Rhinolophus ferrumequinum: one gene and its partners. Each later gene encodes a partner of the first gene's protein in a complex. Links are inferred from orthologs where the notes say so. Each region holds a gene or a part of one and is shown on either strand. Other genes may lie near its edges.

What was found. The genes of interacting proteins can lie anywhere in the genome.
Region 2: the proteins of PPP2R2A (region 1) and IER5 are in contact, whole or in part, in a cryo-EM structure (PDB 8UO5), measured with the Homo sapiens proteins. The link is inferred for Rhinolophus ferrumequinum from reciprocal best matches to the Homo sapiens genes PPP2R2A and IER5. Residues at the interface, in NP_002708.1 of Homo sapiens: Glu91, Ile92, Glu93, Glu94, Asp116, Tyr178, His179, Asp197, Leu198, Met222, Leu225, Thr226, Glu227, Val228, Thr230, Ser247, Phe280, Phe281, Glu283, Ile284, Ser287, Cys334, Tyr337, Glu338, Asn339, Asp340, Phe343, Lys345; in NP_057629.2 of Homo sapiens: Ala7, Arg9, Ile10, Ile13, Ser14, Lys17, Arg25, Gly26, Lys29, Leu30, His31, Lys32, Leu34, Leu35, Val36, Leu38, Val39, Leu40, Arg41.
Region 3: the proteins of PPP2R2A (region 1) and PABIR1 are in contact, whole or in part, in a cryo-EM structure (PDB 8SO0), measured with the Homo sapiens proteins. The link is inferred for Rhinolophus ferrumequinum from reciprocal best matches to the Homo sapiens genes PPP2R2A and PABIR1. Residues at the interface, in NP_002708.1 of Homo sapiens: Phe84, Leu87, Lys88, Ser89, Leu90, Tyr178, His179, Asp197, Met222, Glu223, Leu225, Thr226, Glu227, Val228, Tyr337, Asp340, Phe343; in NP_612206.5 of Homo sapiens: His81, Ser82, Ser83, Arg84, Leu85, Ile88, Lys89, Glu92, Arg99, Glu100, His103.

The regions. Positions count from the first base shown.
Region 1 is NC_046301.1:41,060,598-41,067,467, forward strand, and holds the start of PPP2R2A (serine/threonine-protein phosphatase 2A 55 kDa regulatory subunit B alpha isoform), read right to left. Parts: upstream 3,008-6,870; 5' UTR 2,707-3,007; coding exon 2,700-2,706; intron 876-2,699; coding exon 801-875; intron 1-800. UniProt on the Homo sapiens protein: Substrate-recognition subunit of protein phosphatase 2A (PP2A) that plays a key role in cell cycle by controlling mitosis entry and exit. Involved in chromosome clustering during late mitosis by mediating dephosphorylation of MKI67.
Region 2 is NC_046305.1:13,388,895-13,396,268, forward strand, and holds IER5 (immediate early response gene 5 protein), read left to right. Parts: upstream 1-4,677; 5' UTR 4,678-4,905; coding exon 4,906-5,877; 3' UTR 5,878-6,855; downstream 6,856-7,374. UniProt on the Homo sapiens protein: Plays a role as a transcription factor. Mediates positive transcriptional regulation of several chaperone genes during the heat shock response in a HSF1-dependent manner. Mediates negative transcriptional regulation of CDC25B expression.
Region 3 is NC_046295.1:35,738,189-35,744,499, reverse strand, and holds PABIR1 (PPP2R1A-PPP2R2A-interacting phosphatase regulator 1), read right to left. Parts: upstream 1,812-6,311; 5' UTR 1,677-1,811; coding exon 813-1,676; 3' UTR 520-812; downstream 1-519. UniProt on the Homo sapiens protein: Acts as an inhibitor of serine/threonine-protein phosphatase 2A (PP2A) activity. Inhibits PP2A activity by blocking the substrate binding site on PPP2R2A and the active site of PPP2CA.

The DNA of each region.
Region 1 (6,870 bases):
TAAGTAATATTTCTGAATGATGAAATAATGCAACTACTTTTTGGGAAATAATGCCTCTTTCATCTAAGACCATTTCAGATGAGTGCAAAACCCTAAAGTTTCAAAACTTTAAACTTCTGAAATACACTAATAAACAATTTTGGGGGTAAAATTAAGAATTAAGCACTTCAACTGATTGAATCCAGCTTCTAAAAGCACAAGAATAAGGCAGCCCCTCAGAAGACGTGCAATATATCCATAGCACTGTTTTCTTGCCCACGTAAATCAATCCTTACAAGACAATAAAATGCATCCCTTGAACAAGCATTTCTTCACAGAATATGCCAATCAACACCACAATCTCAAAATAGGCAAGTTCAAAAAAACTAAAAATCTTCCTTCAGAAATAAAAGATGCTGTCAAGATGCTTCTGAGCTAAATGCTGATGCACCTATTTCAGCTTAATTATCTAAAAATTATATACAAACATGAAGATGCATCACCATTTATTTGTGAGTGAAATTTATATAGCAAGGAAACCTTTATCATACAGACCTCAGACTTTTCTTTTCATGGGTTTCATATTTATAATCTACTGTTCCTTTCATTTAATTCAGGAAAAAATAATAAAATGAGGCATAAAGAATGAAGAATTTAAGACTACTTTCCAGAAAGGTTAACTTTTAAAACTGTTCTTCCATTGCTTGGACAATACAAAATGTTCTTCAACTATTAACAGACTCATCTGCGAGGAAAATTTTCAGTAATCAAGATTTTGAACATTCTATACTCAAATTCTGCATTATTAAATGCTTTCTTACCTTCTGCTACATCATCATCTACTGCTCCTTTCACCTGAGAAAAACACCACTGAATATCATTCCCTCCTCCAGCTCCTAGAAAAAAGAAAACATACCAATTAAAACTGAGCTCCGTTCATGTTTACTCCGGTCAACACTGAGATGATATCCATGGTTGGCATGATACTAATAGCCTCATACTGCCCACATACATTACCACCACCCCAGAGCACTAATTTGAAAAAAGGCTAGTCCCCAATAGCTGGTATTGCTTTAGAAAACAAGAGATTCGGGGTATGAAATATTTAAAGGCCATGTACTGGCATTAACACTATACATGTGTTTAAAACATCCTTTTCCCTCAAATACAGTAAAAACCTTACATTCAAGCACGACCTACCAGGAAAAAGCAAATACCAAAAGTTAGAGAGTTTTCCTTTAAAGAGTGTTTTCCTTTAAAAAGCCTGCTTCTAGAAGAGTCAATAAGGTTAAACTACCATAAAACATGGCACGAGGAGAAAACTTCAGGAACATTACTGCCTGCCTGAGGAGCAAGGATTCATAAGAACCTATCACCAAAGAGCACATACAGCAAACACAACACTCACCACCCATTTCTTGCATTTCATTACCAGCAAATCACTAGCTCGAGAGGAAAAGCAGAAATGAATACTGGTGAAGAGACTGTCAAAAGGAAGCTTGTTTTGCCTCCCTTCACCTTATCCCTCAGATTCCAGAGGACCTTGCAGAGAATTAATTTTGCTAATTTGTCATCTTGTGCGAAACAATTTTAATTTCACTTAATTATTCGACAAGGCCAAAGAGCAACTTGTTTATAGCAAACCATAAGTAAACCCAACATGTTAACTTTTCAAAGATTTAATCATCTATCTAAATATTGAAAGAAGCCCGGAAAATTGGTTTAGTCTCTGAATGTTTCTATTTCACTTCTAAGCACTTGAGGAGGAAATGTCCTGCATCGATGGATAAAGAAACTGAATCCAGATCTAGAATTGATTCTACTACATGAAGGATACTCAGCAACAGCAAAATGTACAAAAGTAATCCTCAAAGCAATTATCTTGCTCTTCCTTCACTTCCATTCCTTGCTAAATATTCCAACCTGGTTTTCTCTATGTATCCCCTCTCCATCCCAAGCTTTTACCTAAATCCCTCTACCCATGGCTATTTATATCACTGAACTCCACAACTATTTTAACTAACTCGATTGAATGCCTTTTGGGAAAAGGACATCTGCACAAAAGCTAACATGCAAAACGGAAAGTTGAAATCACATTTTTCATGCAACTTGCTGTATTCAAGACCTTGCACTCTTTGGATGTAAAGGGTAAGAAACGAAAGGGAGATGGTTGGAAACAAAACAAATCAGTCTCAAAAATATACGTACCCACAGTGGGGAAAAATACACATATGTACCGATTGCATTTTAACTTGTAAAGCACTCTTCCTTCTCAGTGCAAAATATATTTGTATAAACACTCAAGAAGGCTTGCAGCAGGGGAAAAAATAGTAATTAAATGAAGGAAGATCCGCCAAAAAGCCCGGGGCGGGGAAGTGGGGGGAGCAGAGGTTACACCAGGCTCCAAAGCTGTGGGGACAAATCTGCACTCGCCCCCACCCCGCCCCACCCACGCCTTTACCCCACAGCTCGCCGGCATACACCCCACCCCCATCCATGCCAAGGTTCCAGCCCTCATTTTAAAAGCCATTTCGGTATCACAGCGACCACTCGCCTCACCAGAACCCTCCCCACCCTCACCCACCCCACTTGACCAATTCCCCGAAATCCAAGGGGCGCCCCGTGGCTCTATGAGAGGCAGAGGCGGTCGCTAGGGGGTGATGGAGGGAGGAGGAAGGAAGCGGTGCCTTGTCACTGGCCGAGGGTGATTTCTCCTTTACCTGCCATGTTGCGCTGCAAATGGTGACCCTGCTGGGTTCCTCGGGGTCTCTGCTTCCTGAACTCACCCCCCTCACCTGGGGATGGGGGGGTAGAGAGGGCGGATGGCGGCGGATGGCACCTGTGGGGGGAGGGGGCGGGGGTCGGGGAAGAAGGAAGGAGGGGCGGGCAGACCAGCCAGCAGGATGGTGGATTTCACTCTTGTGCTTCCCCGCTCTTGCTCTTTCTTTAGCAGCGGCGGCGGCAGCTACGACAGCGACGGCGGCGGCAGCGGCAGGGGCTCCACTTTCAAAATGGCGCCGGCTGGCCTGGCCGGTGACGTCACCGGGGGCGGAGCCGCCGGGCTGGGCCAGAAGGGCGGGGCGGGGCAAGAGCTGGGACGGACAGCAGAGGGGAAGGGGCGGGGGAGCTGCCGGGCAGGCTTCTGGCTCCGCCCCTTCCTCCCCCTCCCGGCTGCTGTGTCCTAGGTGGCTAGCCCGTGCCGCGCCCGGGAACGCACGCTGATGATCTGGTCCCTGTACCGGCTCTCCCCGTCTAAGCCCCGCGGCCCTGCTGCACATCACGGTGTCCCAAGCCTTCGTGACAGTGTCCTTACCCTGGGACGGGCTCAGCTGTCCAGTTCAAGTGCTCACTGAGGGATTCGTGCAGACCTGTGTCTTTTTAGAGAATACCAGTATTGCTACTTAAAATAGTGACCCTGTGGGTTAGCCCTGAGTCCACTGAAGAAAAGGGACAGTGGTGCAAACTCGCTGCTTAGCCAAGGTGAAAGTTCACAGAACTTAAAAGGACGTAGCTGGAATGGTTCCATCTGGGTGACCCGGGAACTGAGGCGAGAGTCCTTGACGACTGAAAGCAGTTAAGAGTGGTTACTAAACAGAACACTGAGTTTGCTAGTAGCAGAATATGGCTGGAAGAGTGGCCCAGTTCTGTCCAGCTAAAAGTGTAGAAACAGTGTTTAAGAGCTGGGCTCTGAAACCTGGCTGCCAAATGCTAAGTCCACACAAGAGATAATGGTAACAATTCTACTTTATAGGATTGTTTCAAAGATTAAATGACTTAATTTGAGTACATAACTGTTAGCTGTGGTTATTATTAAATTTGTATTGAAAGCATCTTCAATAGATTTAAGAGGTATAAGAAAAAAATAAACAGAAAACACTAGTTATCAGTCAAGAGGGCATGTGCACTTCATTGAAAGATGAATTAATGATGCAGTCACAATATACTACTGTACATTTTACATGTCACTTAATCTCCACAGTAATCCCATGAGATAGATATCCAAATTTTGGACATGAAAAACACCTGCAAAGTATTTAGAATTTGACCTTAAGGCTGAAAAGAGTGATAAGGCATTTGGAGACCAAGGGGAAGTTTACAATATTTACCTCCTGTCCATCATTTCCACTTTCTACCTTAGTCTTGCTCTCCAGAAGAGTTCAATTACAAAACAAGATTCAGAATTCTTCCACATGAAACAGCTGCACCACTGTATTATTATTCCTCTGTTTCTACATTAATATTTCTCACTTTACCAATGAACAAATCAAAACTAAAAATCCACCCTGTATCTGTCATCTTTCAGCTACCTGTACAAACAGGTACAACATTTCACTTCTCTGTTTGCTGTATTTACTTCTATTTTGGTTGATTCCATAAATTTATTTCTCAGCATGTGCCTTTACTATTCATTTTCCTTTTCACTAGTGAGAGCTCTCCACCTTAACCAGAACTCAGAGGGAGCGAGGGAGGGAGGGAGGGAGGGAGAAACAGAGAGAGAGAGAGAGAGAGAGAGAGAGAGAGAGAGATTGAGAGAGAGAGAGAGAGAGAGAGAGAACACAGACCGTTCAACTGAAAACTAGCACCCCTATATGCAAATCATTTTTCTTTTTTATGCTTCAATTTTTGCCACGTGTAAGATTTGAATCTTCACACATCCTGAAAAATGATTTGGTCTATATAAATGATGTGTTCTTCTTAGAAGACAAGAAAGCTTGCCTAGAAACTGCGGTAATGATAACAAAAGTTCATACAGCACTGACAATGTCCTGGACGCTGTTCTAAGAGCATTGTATACAGTCTAGAGGGCACTCCATGTCATGAGATGAGCTAAGGGGGGTGTAATATCGAAGGTCTGTGCATCCTGGCGCCCAGGTACACGCAACCTGGCACGTTTTGACCCTGAACAGTCATATCAGTGGAGCACAAGCCGCCTCCCTTTCTTCTGAATGGCTCTTAAGAAGAGAGGCCAGAATACCCACCAGCATAAAGGCAAGGGTTGCTCTAGTCTAGCCCCCCTTCCTTATCTTGCATTCTAGCCTCCATCCTCTGTACTAGGGCTTCTGTCCCTACCACTTCACTGAAATGGTTTCTGTCAAGGTCTTCGATGATCTTCATGTTACCAAATCCAGCAGTCACTTCTTTGGTTTTGTTAGCTTCCCAAAAGCATTTGAAATGACTAATTCACGCCATCCTTACTGAGACCATTTTTCCTTGACACGCGATTTGTTTCCTTCCAACCTTTCTAGCCACCCCTTTCAGTTTTCTTTGCTGACTCCTTCTCCCAGACTATCCTCTAAATGTTAGGGTGATCTGTCTCCCTGGCCTCTGTCCTGGGTCCCCTTCTCTGATCACACACTCTTTTGGGCAACCTCTTATAGTATTTCCATATATTTACAGATGTAAATACCATGAATTTACTAGTGGCTGCCAAATCTAGATCTCTAGCTCTATCCTTACCCCAAAATTGCAGATACACACACACACCTCTACCTGCCTACTTGACATTTTTACAAATGTCCAATAAGTTTGTTTGAACAAGCACTGCCAGAACACAAGTCTCGATTCTGTGTTCCCTCCATTTGGGTTGATGCTTTTTCTCTGCCTGGAAAATCACTATCCAGTTACCACTCCGCTCCAACATTCCCACATGCCTATCCCTCTTTCCTTCCTCAGCCAGTAAAAGGTTCTTTAAAAAACAATTCGGATGTAACTTCCTCCAGGAAAGCTTTGCTCATTTCCACCCCCATTCCTTACTCACCTTAAAATGGGCTGGGTGCCCTTCCTAAATAGTCTCATACAATCTGATGCACTTCTCTCTTACTAGATTATGTTTAAATTATTTAAATATGTGTCTGTTATTAGACTGAATTCTTTGAGAGTAGGAAATATTCTTATTCATCCCTGTATCACCAGCCACATAATTTTTTGGATTAATGGATGAATGAATAAATCTCTGGCTTGGGAAGAAAACCAGTGGAATATTGGCTTCTTAAAGCTTGCCATATCATAAATGTTTTCACTCACCCTTCTTATGCCTAGAAGAAGGAGGCGTTTTGCAAATTATCTAGGTTATCCTGATGTACATTTGTTAGGCAATAGTTGGTTAAAGATGTAAGTTGCTTATAGATAGATTCATCCCAACTACTTGCATCCAACTGGTCCTTTATCCCTGAATACATATTATCCAAGGAAATTCCATGGGACACCATTCCCTCATCCACATTCTACCATGAGAGCATTTTTTCAAGGGAGCCCCTAGTCAGCCCTTCAACACCTGACCACTTGTGAGATGAACAAATAGCTCCCTGCAGAACTGAGTTCAGCTTAGACACACAAGAGGAAACTCGCTGTGGGTTTTCCCTGTGAAGTCCTGCAGAGCCTATAAGTCCTGCAGCTGTTCTACTTACAAGCTGAGCTGAGAGGTACCAAGAACACCCACAATCCTGCCAGCAGAATGGAGCTAACGGACTCACCCGTGGGTTGTTTGCAAGACAGCTTTTTAAAGTGTATTATACAATGAGAGGAGAATTACTTGCAAGTTGTTCTTTTCCTTGGAGTTAAGACGAACACAAACCCTCTTCTACACTAAATGAGAAGTGGCACTCTTTAGATGCTTCTTTCCTCTAGACAAGTTAGAACTAGGGGTGTCTAAGAAAGACCGTGAACTCCAGGGTAAAAGGAGAAGTTCCTAATTAGAAAACGATAGTTTAAAATATTGGTAAACCCACCACAGCCATGCTTTCTGATATGGAGCAGATTCAAGGGCTTTACAGGGGAAAATTTCAAGTATATTTTTATATACTTCCTTCATATCTACAAATTTGGCCTGAAGTCAGCTTCCCAAAACTCTGTAAAATCTAGACTATAATGACAATTCACACAACAACATTC
Region 2 (7,374 bases), on another chromosome or scaffold:
GAATTTGTTTTCCTTCGCAGTATTAAAAAAGGCAAAGTATGACAAAAATGATCATAAGAACCACCTAAGGCTTTCTGAACCAAGACAACATTTAGGACAAGAAGGAGGGTGGGCCTATAATAGTTTAGGAAAGGAAATGGGGAGGAGGAAAGAAGCGAGGTTTCCGTGCCCACCCCTAGTCAAATGCTATTTGAAGATAAAGAAACTCTATTTTTTTTAGCATGGTAAACATTTCATATCTTTTTTTTTAATTTTTATTTATTTATTTTTAATTTATTGGGGTGACAATTGTTAAGTTGCTCAGCAGTCAAGAGGAAAGAAAGGATGTAAAATATGCCAGAACTGTGAGAGAGAAAAAGTTGAATGAAAAAGTGGATTTTGTGTGTTCTCAGAGGAGCACGAGGAATATTGCTTACGTAGAATGCTAACAATGTATTTTTATAGCGCTTTCCCCCCTAAACAATTCAGGATGTCATACAAATAATCATTCACTCACATGAGCAACTTTGACTAAAAAAAAAAATTTCCAAATGTTCTAACATTGAGAGGTAGGCACAGTGCAGATGTTTTTATTTCACCCACCCCCTTTTCACTCGTTTCTTCTCACGGAGCTATTGTTTGCATAATCCATAGTGGGTTTGCATTGTTCTTATATAGACTAGACCCAATTTAAGGCAATAGGAGCTCTGCAACCATCTGATAATACTGAGCCTTCAACGAGTCATGCAAACAAGACAAAGTCAATAGCAGTGGGTAGACAGCCCTTTCCTGAGAGGAATCCCCAGGCCGGAGACCCATAGTGCCTGATTGGGGACAACTGTGGCCAACGCTCCGCGTGTTCATCTCCTTGTGCCCAGTGGAGAAGATGGGGGATGGACGGACAGACCAGACCCAATGGACATGCTTGGCCACTTCTTCCAGAGCACAGAGCAGTTGCTTCCTCTGTCCTTCGGACACCCTTCGTGTTTCTCATAGTGCTACCAGTTTTTTTTTTCTTTTTAACTGAGAAAATCTCAAAGATTGATGACAGCAAACTCTCTCAATTACCTGCTTCCTAAAGCTTAGAAGACTATGTTCTGTATCTTCCCACTTTTTCTGGTAGGCGGAGGTGAAGCTTGCTGATCCTAAGAGCCTAGGCCCTCCAAAGATGAGTTCTCCAGGTTGTACTTTGTTGTCTCAGGAGTAGAGGATAATAATTGTGATCGCACTCAATTTCAAGTCAGCAGATATTTATAGAGCACCTAGTATGTGGTATAATAGAAAACGCATTCAAAATTCAACTGGGACTAAGAGTGTACCTACTGTGTGCTTGGTACTGAGCTAGGCACTGGTATAACCATAACTAGACTTAGTAAGCGCTTGTATGGTGCTAGAGACTGTACGTATGTTTATTATTCCCATTTTACACAATAGGTGACTAGGCACAGAAATGTTGCAAAACTCAGACTGGATTTTCTTATTTCACCGAGATGTGAAATCACTTTCCAAAAGTCATATAGCAAGTAAGAGGTAGAATAAGGTAGTGGCACCTCACAGCCCTTCCCTCAAGCTTTAAATAGGTTCACAGTTGAAATCCACCCTCTCTGCCTACAGCTGTATGACTTTAGGAAAATTACTTAAACTTTTAAAATCCTAGTTTCCTCATCTGTAAATGGATATAATGATATGTAATATTTTCAGAACTTTCTACAGATGATAAATAATGCCTGTAAAGTGGCTAGCGCAGTGCCTGGCAGACAATATCATTATTAGTGATTCATAAATCCAAATGCATAATCACTCAGTATATAGTGCTATGGCTACCCACCCCTGTTGTTAAAACATTGAAAGTCTTCCATGCCAGTTGGCAGACCCCTTGAGTGCCCCACGTCCTGGCCATCTTGCCCCTCCTGTAGGAGCCTCCCATAACTCCTGGCCCTCTAAGCGTCTCCAGGACTCCGCTCTGATGCTTAGTGCCTGTGTTGCCCTGTGTGTTAACTGTGTTAACTGTGGCAACACAGTTAAGTATTTTCACTATTGCCTGGCTACAAATATGAGATGGACTCCTGCCTCTGTTGAGAGTACAGTTTGGGAGGGGCCCTGGGCATGACAGCGGAAAGTGAGGAGGTCAGAGATGAAAGAGAATGTTTCACACGGTGCAGGATGGTGATACACCCCGCCCAGATTGGTCAGGACGGCTTTATCAGTGACCTGTTTAGGTGGGTGGAGGCATCCCGGGTCATCACTAAAGCTCCTTTTGTCTCTCAGTTTTTTTCATTCTTGCCACCTCCACCGAGTTCAGTCCTTCATGACCCTTTGCCTAAACTTCCACAAGTGCTTTACGATTAAGTGGTTCTCTTTGTAATTAAGTGTACTGTTCTAGAATCCATTCTTTGGTTCCCTTACTCAATAACCTTTAGTAGATTCCTGTGGCCCCCATCTCCTTATTGAGGCATCCACGACCCATTATCATGTAGCACCAGCCTCAGTTTCCATCCTTTTCCACCTCCTGTAGGTGTCTGGCACACCTGCCAAATGAGATGGTCTCCACCAGGGGCTCTGTTGCTCCTGCTGCTTGGAACTTGTGGGTCCTACTTCAGAGTTTTTCTGTGTCCTCCTCAAATGCAACTTCTTTCTCCCATCTCCGTTCCTCCTCCCACCCCATGCCTCTTCTCCCACCCCAAAGTTGTATTGGGGGGTGATGTGTTCTGATAACTGAAATACATTGGTAGCTTATTATATGCCAGGCTGTTCTAAGAGCTTTGCATGTGTTACCTTGTTTTAGCCTCACAAAAACTCTTAAGAGGTAGCCACTATTATTATCTCTATTTTAAGATGAAAAAGACCAAGGCACAGAAAGGTGAAATAACTTTCCAGAGGTCACACTGCAAGTAAAATGTGGAGCTGGGATTGCAACTCAAGAAGCTTGTCTTCCGAGCCTGTACTCTTACTCAGTGTTTTTTAGTAACTAATAGCTCTCAAAGAAAGAGAAAATGGAAACATTTCTCTCATGTTATTCCTCAAACTGCAAGGCTTGCTTTTGTAATTATTTGTGTTATTATTTCCTCTCCTTCTTTATGTGAGCTGCAAATTCCTGGAGGGAAGGAACTCTGGGTCTCATGGACCGGTGTGTCAGTTACCTTCAATAAGTTGTGATATTTCTGAGCCATCACATCCTTTGGAGCCTCTGATTGTGACTTGGCCATCATCAAGCCCACTTTTCACTAGTATTTCTTCTAACTAAATATAGCAAATCCTCCAATGTCATTTTCTTCAATTGTTTCGTTATAAGGTTGATGAGATGCTGTGGGAACTTAACTCTTGTTTATATCAATTAGCCTGTGGTAAAATCAGTTGTGTTCTGTGGCGTGTCTGTAGACTACTTGGCCAAACTCTGGTCAGGCCAACAGTTCCACCTGGACTCCGAGAAAGCTGTACTTCGTTTTATGATTCAGATTGTGGCTGAGTTGTCATTTCCCTTCTGCATAATAGAGCAGATGTGTGTGTGTGTGTGTGTGTGTGTGTGTGTGTGTGTGTGTGTGTGTGTGAGATTTCTCCCTTTTAGAGCTGGCGAAACTAAGGTGTTCTGAGGTTATTCACTCAGTTGTCAGGCAGGTCTGTGGTGGAGCTTAGGTGGGTCTAACTGAAACTGATTCTCCAGGAACCCAGTCTAGGACCCTGGCCAACCCTGTGGTGATTCTGCCCTAAATGCCATGTACTAAGGATCAGTAGAAGGGCTAAGTTGTTGACTGACCAGAAAATTCTGGAACACTCTTCCCCTATATTTTTACCTTGACACAAAATAAAATTATGACATCATGATGAGAACACAGGACTTCTCTATTTGTATTTTTAGAACTTGCTCGATTTTTTTTCAAGGGTGGCTGGTCAGTCCTTGGGTTGAAGGAAAAATCATTGTGGAGAACTTGTCCCACCTTTCCTCATAACCTGTGTGACAACGGTTTGTTCTAAAATCTGGAGAACACACAATAATAGATGCTGGCTTTAGTGGAACACCAGTAACTTTTTACCTAGACACAATTCCTTGATAAGCAACCAAAACTGAGAAACTTTTCGAACCCCCGTTTTCTTCATTCCGTGTTAGAATTGATGGCTGCTAAGAGTGTATGTGACTCTAGGGGGCAAGGGACTCATACAACATTAATATCTGCTAAATCTCTTATAGTAATACTATTGTTGTCCAGGGGCTTTCCCTTGCCGCATTATGCTGTTATCTTCATTTCTGCCAGGGTTGGCCAGGAGCTTACAGGTGTGTGCTGCCTTGAAAATGGAAGTGTGGGGGCGGGGGTGGGGGGAGGTGAACCAGGACAGATCCGGACTTTATTGCAGAGCAAGGTCCACCACCATACTCGGATGAAAGTTCGAATGGCTTAGCTCGCTTTGGTTCTGGCACACCAGCGCACAAACCAGATTCTTTACCTACAAACAACACGGTGGCTATGCCTCCTCCCCATCACCCGCCCTAGGAACACAGACGCCGCACAACCCGCCAGTCCCTCGCCACACGCGTAGTCCCCTTTAAGAGCCTGCTCCGCGGGACTAACGTTCGAATGGCTCTGGCGCCCCTCCTCGGTCTCCGATTGGCCGCGTGTAGAGCATGAGGGCGCGTTGACCCGCCCCGGAACGGTTGGCGGCCCTTCGCGATTGGCGGGCGAGGAGCATATATAAGGCGCCGGGGGAGTGGGACTGCCCTCAGTTAGCGACCAGGCACCTGACCGGACAGGAAACTGGGTAGTTACCTGTTGTGGAGGGGACGCGGAGGTCAATAAGCGCGTCACAGGAATCGTTTCTTTCTGGAGTCTTGGGGAGGATTTCTTGACTCCTCCAATTTCTCTCCCTGTTTTTGGACCCTAGCCGGGGCTCAACCCTCCTCTCCGTGCTGCCCGTGAAGGGGCTCCAGGCAGGATGGAGTTCAAGCTGGAGGCGCACCGCATCGTCAGTATTTCCCTGGGCAAGATCTACAACTCGCGGGTCCAGCGCGGCGGCATCAAGCTGCACAAGAACCTTCTGGTTTCGCTGGTGTTGCGCAGCGCCCGCCAGGTCTACCTGAGCGACCCGTGCCCCGGCCTCTACCTGGCCGGTCCGTCAGGGACCCCGATGGCGCTGCCGCAGCTGCCCGGGGAGCCTGCGGCCGGCCCCGCCGCGGGATGGGGAGAGCCGGCACCGCCGGCCGTCCCGGCCGCCTGGCAGGAGACCCAGCCGCACCCGGAACGCTCCGCCGTCCCAGACGCTCAGCGGGCGGTTGACGCGGAGCCCGCGGCTCCCGGGATCGACGCCGGGGACGCTGTCCTGGGCGGACAAGCGGCTGCGGGACCTGCCTGGCGCCTCATGGAGGGACCGCGAGAGGCAGCGGCCGGAGGACCCGGGAACCCCGCCGGAGCCTCGGAAGTCTTCCCCGAGGTGGCCCGGGCGGCGAGCCACCACTGCGGCCGCCCCCCAGGAGGGGAGGACCAGCCGGGGGCGCTGGGCGCCACCCCCCGCGGTGACTGCTGCTGTGCGAAGGAAGAGGCCCCCGCGCCGCCCCCCATCGGCCCCAGGAAGCGCGGCGCGGCAGGGGCGGGTGGCGTCGGTGGCCCGGCGGGCTGCCCCGCGCCCAGCTCGACCCCGCTGAAGAAGCCCCGCCGGGACTTGGAGGAGCCGTCGAGCGGGGCGGCGGCCGAGGAGGAGGAGGAGATGGAGACCGGGAACGTGGCTAACCTTATTAGCATCTTCGGTTCCAGCTTCTCGGGACTCCTGCGGAAAAGCCCCGGGGGCGGCCGGGAGGAAGCCGACGGAGAGGAGAACGGTCCGGAAGCCGCCGAGCCCGGGCAGATCTGCTGCGATAAGCCGGTGCTGAGAGACATGAACCCCTGGAGCACAGCCATCGTGGCCTTCTGAGCCCTCGGTCTCCGTGCGGGCAGGCGAGTGAGCAGCTGGCGTACCGACGCGAGGGCTGGGCCTCTCCCAGCTGCGAGGACGACCCGGAGACCGTGGGCGCCGAGCGTGTTGGGGAGACTGTGGCAGCTGCCCGGCAGTGCGCGCTGCCCGTGGCCTTGGGCACCCTGCTGTGCCGGCCTCTCTCTCGGGGCCCTTCTTGAGACTTGGGCATGTGAGGCTTATCGGAAGAGGACGCTCGTTCACTTGTGTGTCTGTGTATGTCTGTGTTGTAAGTTTGTTTTGTGATTTAAGACTATTTTGTCCTTCTGGAATGCATCACCCCTTCCCCAGCCAGGGCTTAGGAGACGGGGGGCAGACAGGGACTTTCCTCTGCCAGCAGCCCCAAGAAGGAAGCGGCGAAAAGGGCCGGGGAGTTCCCCGCGCGTTCTTGGGGCAGGAAGGGACTTTACACACACCCCTCACATGAAAGCTAGAACGGTACCAGGGCCAGGAGTGGCGTTTCCTCGCAGGATTTCCTAAGACTAGAGGGATTTAGCCTGCAGTCGAGACTTGTATTATTTCTCTCCCTCCCCACCTTTCTCTCTCACTGAAGCACCGTTTATACCCTGTGATTACTCTGGGAAAGGGGAATCTTAGCGGCCCTTGTCTTCCCCAGAGGGAAAAACGCTTGACGAACTTCTCAGAAGAGGTCAAGCTTGGAAATACGGAGTTTATAGAGAAAAGATATATTTTTAAAAGCTCTAGTTCAGAACTACTACACAGTGCTTTTAAAAAATGTTTAATGAAACAAAGTTTACAGACAGAACCCTTAAGTGGAAAGATCTTATGGTTTTGTAGATATGGTGACTCCAGTCTTTGTTGTATAAAGGTTGGGGGAGCTGACAAGGTTTTTGTACAGTATTTTCTCCTTCGTTGTATTGATTTTTGTATAAAAATGTAACTCTACGTGTCTAACACGTATTAAATATTTTGAAGCAACTTCACTGCCTCCTTGCCTGTTCATCACCAGTCTGGGTTGGGAGGGGGGTGGGAGGAGGGAGACTGTGGTCCAGGCTGGAAAATTGAAGGTGTGGTTGTTAATATCAGTCAAGCACAGACTGCGGACATTGTTTGCTGACTTTAGTGAGTATCCAGAGAGACACGTTTAAGGTTTCTCCCCCAGATCAGAGGACTGCTACCAGATACTAATGTCAGTGGCCTGCCTGTTTCTTGAAACTTGCCACTTCCAGCCGCCTTTTCTAAAGTCATATTAGGCCAATTTGATTTTTTTCTCAGCTCAATCTGTTGGTGTCTTACTTAATATTAAATAGCTGAAGCGCCAACTTTTGAAGCCCTTCCCATCCTGGAAAAGGTTTTCACTGAAACTTTTTGTCTCCTGCTAAACTGTATTACTTGGGTCCTCTTTCAGCTTTGTTATTGAAAAGAAACTGACAGGAGGGAAACTGAGGAGACTGACTCGCCCAGCTGATCAGGTCCACCTCTGCATTCCAGTTGACT
Region 3 (6,311 bases), on another chromosome or scaffold:
AACTAAGGCTGCAAGGCACTGTCCATTTACTTTAGGATTATACTCAAGAAAATGCACTTGCTGGTAAACACAAAAAAATTCATTTTCTGTATAGTGGTTATATTTGTACAACTTACCAGAATTACTATTAAGTTTCACTTGAAAATGTTTTTCTTAAATATGTTTACTTTTATATGTTTAATTTAAAAAGATTTCTTGCAAAGGTTTATATTTTGTTCTTTTATCGTTCCCCCTCCCATCCATTTCTGTACCCAGAAAATTAAATATCCAAGGATTCCTGGATAAAACAGACAACCACTGGATTGATATGTTATAACTAACATATTTTAAAAATAGCTGTAAATAGGTTAAGTTATTGTTCTTCATCACACAGAAAGTAGCAATCACTAAAAATAACATTAAAAATTAGTGTGGGCATGAAGTATGGAATTTTAAAACAGTTTACTATGCTGATTAATTCAACATTTATATTTGCATCAGAACTTAAAAATCCCATAAATAAATAGAGCTCTCAATTATTTTTAAAAAATCAAGGGATAACATATGTATTTAGACATATTAGCAGCGTAAAGATGTATGCTTCAACACACTTATTGGGAAAACGTCTGAAAATATTACTACACTGAATTCAAGGGCATCCGCAGGAACCTGACATAAAAGTTCTCTAGAATAACAACATTTCAGGAAATTCCAAAAAAGGAAAAGGATCAAATAGGAAAGAGCCTCAAATTAATTGACAGAGTTCAGTGCTTGCTCCAACCGATTTTTCTCTCCATTGCAAAAATAAAACAGTCTCGGGATGGGTCGGCGAATCATTTAGATGAAAGTTCATCTACTGGAATAAATGGAGAGGCCGCCTGGGCAGGTGACACCGGAGAGTCGGTGGTAGTGCTGACTTTCGCTGGTGAGTTACAAGAAGATCCGGCACTGCTGCTGTTTCCATCAAGGGTATCAGAGGATACACACACACCAGGATCTGACAGCTGTGCAACGTCAGAAGAAAGCATGTTGGTGATGCCCTGGAAAAATCTCTTTGGCTGATATTCAGTTTCCATTTCACATTTTCTTTTCAATGGTCCAAGAACACTTGGTCTGATGCAATTAATGGGACTCTGGCTTCTCCGAGTAGTAAACCGGGTCGTTGGGCTGGGAATAGGACTTGGGGGCAATCCATTGCTACTCACAAAACTTTGCAAGGATGGTGAAAAACACTGCTTCCCAATTCCCCGGGTGGGTGACGGTGCTGGTGACACCGGAATGAAATCGATGCGCTTCGGAGAGGCAGATTTCTCCACATCGTTGTCACTCAGACTGAAACTTTCCTCCCAGGAGTGGCTTATCTGCATTGCGTTCTGCACCTCGCGCTCGTGGACCGTCTCTCGGTTGATCAAGTCCATGCCCTCCTCCTGTTTGATCTGGTGCAAGCGGCTGCTGTGCATGCGGACCGGGGAGGCCGGTAGCAGCAGGCCATGGCGGTTCGGGAACGTTGTGCTGTTCCGCCTGGCGCTCGGCGCCTCGGCCTGGAACACCGGGGAAGTGTCACTGAGGCCGTGGATCAGGGGGGCGCTATTAGACCTCCTGAGGCCCCCGCCGCCGCCACTGCCGCCGCCCTCCGCTGGGCTCCCGCCCGTACCCGAAGGCAGCTCCAGGTCTAGTTCCATCTTCTCCTGAGCCATGTCGGGGGGCAGGGAGGCGGGGGCGGTGCTCAGTCAGAGACCTAGGGCTCCCATTCCCCGCAGTCCAGGGCCGCCGCCGCCGCCGCCGCCACCGAGAATCTGTCAGCGGGCTCCTCCCTCTGCGCATGCGTGCCCCTTCGCGCAGGCGTCCTGCGCGCGCTCTCGCGGCGCCAACTTAATGCGTAATAGATGCGCCGCGGTCCTAGGGGGAGGGGTGAGGAGCAGTTGGACATCTAGTCCTTCAGTCCCTTCCGCAAATAGCTTTTGAGCGCAAGCTCGCATTGACATGTTAATCAAGTTACCATATTCAGGAGTATATATTTATAAAATAAAAGCTCTGAAAGAGAGGCCCTTGCTGATGTGAGGCTGTGTGACGGGGATTGGCCCTTGGCCTAACCAAGGACGGCTTCCCTAAGGGACAATCTGAGATCCGAAGAAGAGAAATGGGTGCAGTGGAGAACTGTCCGGGAAGCGGGAAGCTCGGGCTACCAGCCAGGTGGCAGGCGGGAACCAGGGTGGGAGAGAGGGCTGGCCTGATGTGACGTGGTGGAGCAGCGCAGATTTCTGGTCTTTATCCTGAGAACAATGAAAACTCCGAAGGTTTTCAAGCATAGGTGTAATAATAGCGACTGGAAAGCTCGCTGGCCGCAGTCTGGAGTGTAGATTATTGGGAGATTAGAACCCACAAGAAAAAGATCAGAAGGGAGGCGATCCTTTAGGTCAGAGAGGATGGAAGTTTGCACTAAGGTGTGGGAGAGGAACGGAGAAAACGGCCAATTTGAGAATTATTTGGGTTAAGGGGAAAAAATAACCTGTAACTGTATTACTATTGTTTTATTTAGTCATATTTCTAGCACAAGCATATGTGCTCAATAATGTTCATTCAGTACGAGACATTAAATGAAGGGAAAACCAATAGGTTCGCATACTTTAAAAATAAAAAGCACAATACTTGGCTCACGTAGTTAACACAAATTTTGATATTAAAATTTGTTGATATTAAAATTAAAATGGGTTTATACTTAATTCTTCATGTATTCATTCATTCATTCATTCATTATTCATCCATATTTTTTCTGTATACCTACTATGTGCCAGGCACTGTGTTAGGAATTAGACCCTAATATGGGGTCATTTATACAGGGCACAAAGAGATAATAGGCTATTTCAGATAGTAAAAAAAATAAAATAGGTTATGATAGAGCACTACTGGTAGAAGGCAGGGGGCAATTAGACACAGCTTAGATCTAAATGACAAGAAGTAAGTCATGTTGACTTCTGGTGGATGAATGTTCCAAGTACAGAGAATAGCAAGTGCTAAGGCCCAAGGCAGACATGAGCTTGGTGAGCTAGAAGAAGGAAACAGGGCCATGCAGCTGAAGCATAAGGGGGAGTGTTGGAGGGCGTAAAGGGGTTTGGATCTCATTATAAGTACGATGAAAAGCCACTGGGGAGCTTTAAGAAGGAGAGTGATATTATCTGGTTTAGGTTTTAAATATCACTTTGGCTCTGTGGAAAATAGGCTGAAAGAGGGAAGAGTGTAGGCAGAAAGACGGATTAGGAACCTTTGGCAACAATACAGACAAGATTATTGGACTAGGGTTGTAGCAGTGGCAATGAGAAGTAGATGGATTTAGGATATGTTTTGGAAATACATTTTATGTTTATATTTAGATGATGAAAGAAATAGATGATTCAAAGGCAACTCATATGCTTTTTTACTTGAACTGGGGCGGTAGATGATAGTATCATTTACTGAGATAGAAAAGGAGTGAGTTTAGAGAAGTGGAAATTAAGAGTTCTGTTTTGGTTGATTTGAGTTAGAGGTGGTTATTAGATATCCATGGGGCTATTTGAACTGAAAGAAAGCTTAGTGATTTTTGTTCATCCCCCTCTTTTTGCAGCTGAAGAAAGTAAGATCCAGAGAGGCTAAGTGACATATTCAGCATCACACAGCTTGTTTAATAGTGGGAACCAGTACCAGAATCCAGGTCTCTTGGTTCCTAGTCCATGCCTCTTTCCACCGTGTCTCAAACAGCTTTTAACTTGAATTCCCTGTAAAATACAGGTCCTGATGATAAAATAACGTTGATTATTCATGCCTAGAATTATGCAGAAACTGATTTAAGTTTTCCAAGTGCCAGGCATTCATTCAAAGTGCTTCACATGTAGTACCTCAGTTAATCCTCACAACAACTCTATGAAGTAGGTATTATTGTTCTCATTTTGCAGGGGAAACTGAGCTGCAGAGATTAAGTAATATCCCCAGGATAATAGTAAGTACCAGGATGTGGACCCAGAGCCTGGCACAATGTTACCCAGGGTTCTTCCTCCAAGTGCCATTTCCACTTGCAGATTGTTAGCAGCTTTGTGAAGGCAATGGGTTCTGAGACAGGATCTGAAGCATAGGTATTATAGAGATATTAATATAGAGATGACATTTCGAAGTGGCAGCATGATAATAAAATAGTGAATTTGGCTAACACATGAAGTACATGGAGAAGAATAGTAATGGGAAAAATGTTTTAAATGGAAGTTAGAGTGAGAGAATTGGAGCTCTGGATGCCTGTATTTAACATGTGAGGCCAGAGGGAACCATTGATGGTGTTTGACAAGAGGAGTGACACAATGAGAGCTGTACTCTAGGACCTGCCAGGCAGATCAAGGATGGAGCTAAGTGGAAGAACAGAAGGTGGAAAGAATCAACGTTTTCTAAGTGCCTACTACCTGCCAAGCACTTTACACACTCCATAGACCCTCTTAATCCTCACTGCGATCCTGTTGATACTGTTATGCTCATTTCATAGAAGGACAACTGAGGTTCAGAAACTGCAAAAGGTGATACAGCTATGTGGAAGAGCAAAGGTCTGAACCAATCTGAATCAAGGTCTCATTTCTAAATCTATATTTTTTTTGTTTCATTTCCCATGGATTAGAGAAGGAGAATTTGATGACGAACTCTGAGATGAAAGTACGGTCTCAACTAAAGTTGGGAATGGCAGGAAAAGGAGATGAATTTTGGGAGACCGGAAGGTAACAGCGGAACCTGCCAGGATGTACAGAGGATGAAGACAGAGGAGTCACAAATGACTGAAGTTCAAACATGAGTATCACAAGGAATGGTACATTATTAATTAAAAATGGAGGAGGATGGAGGAAGAGCATCCAGAAGAAAACTAATATTAAATAGAAAAAAAAGCATTAACTACAGAGTTTATTTTATAATATCCATAGCATTTTGCTAAGTTGCATATTACTAAATTATTTCCAATGTTTCTCAAATGTGATGACACTGTTCATCCATGCCTGGATAAATACAATTATTATCTTTACTGATAAAGCACAGAGATGGTGATAAGTCCACAAAATCAAACATCTCTGCCATTTGGTTTCTGTCTGAACCCACTGGAGATCTTCACTCATTTCCCTGTTTCTACCCTTGTCTCTGCTGTCAATTTTCCACCCAATGTTCCAGATCAGCCTTAAAAAAAAAAAGAAAGAAAGAAAAATACTTGAATAGTCCCTTCTCTGTTCAAAATGTTGCAGTGGATTCCTGCTCAGAGAAAAAGCTGAAGTTATTACAATCATCAATGGAGCCCTATTTGATGTGGGTCACTTCTCTCTCTCTGTCCCCACTTCTAACTACATGCCCCCTCACTGCCTCCCCTCAAACTGCAGAGGCCTCCTTACTGTTCTTTAGCCCACCAGGCTTACTCTTCTTCCAGTGGATGTCCACACTGTTCTATCCGTTCAGGGCTCTGCACAAATATCATTAACCGAGAGACCTTCCCTGACCTTCCTTATAAAAGCAACAGCAGTTCCCAACACCAAGCCTACTCTCCCATGCCCTTACTCTGTTTTTATGTTCCTCCAGAGCACCACATGACATATATGTATATACTGTTTTCTTGCCTCTTATACTCAAGGAGGTCATCTCCATGACAGCAAGCCTTTTGCTTTGTTCCCTGCTGTATGTCTAGTAGCTAGAACAGGGCCTTGTACACAGCACTCTAAATAGTTGCTGAGTCACTGTGTCAAGTAAATGTTAAATGAATGAATGAATGAATGAATGAACTAACGTAGCTTTGTCCAAAAGAGAAGAAAATGATTATTTGAAAATACAGTCTAACAGGCTTTTCTAGACTGACTCCAAGTGCTCCTAACTTTGACAATTCTTTTTCTTATATCGAGATTATTATTATTAATTATAGCGCCCTCCAGTCCATGGAGATAGTTGACATAATGGTTAGTTCAAGAAAACTAACAAACTGAAGCCCTAAGTTTCCATTCTTTTTCAACAGTATGCTGATACACGCTTGACAGAATTAAAATGCTCAGTGCTGAGGATTCTAAGCAGTGTTTAATATATTGAATTACTGCTTCCTCTCAAAGGAATAAAGGATAAATGAGAGAAAATAGCAGCCATAAAATGCAATTCAGCCTGTTGCAAAAGTGACACCAGAGGAAGGATCCAGGAGATCTCCTCTGAGTCAATTCACCCTTCTGGTTTCAATCTGGTATGAATTAAATACTATACTTAGTTGATACTCACTCCTAAGTCAGAAAACAAGACATCTATTCAATAGTTAAACTTTACTGTGATTAAGATTCTATTTTTTCAAACTAACAGGTAGT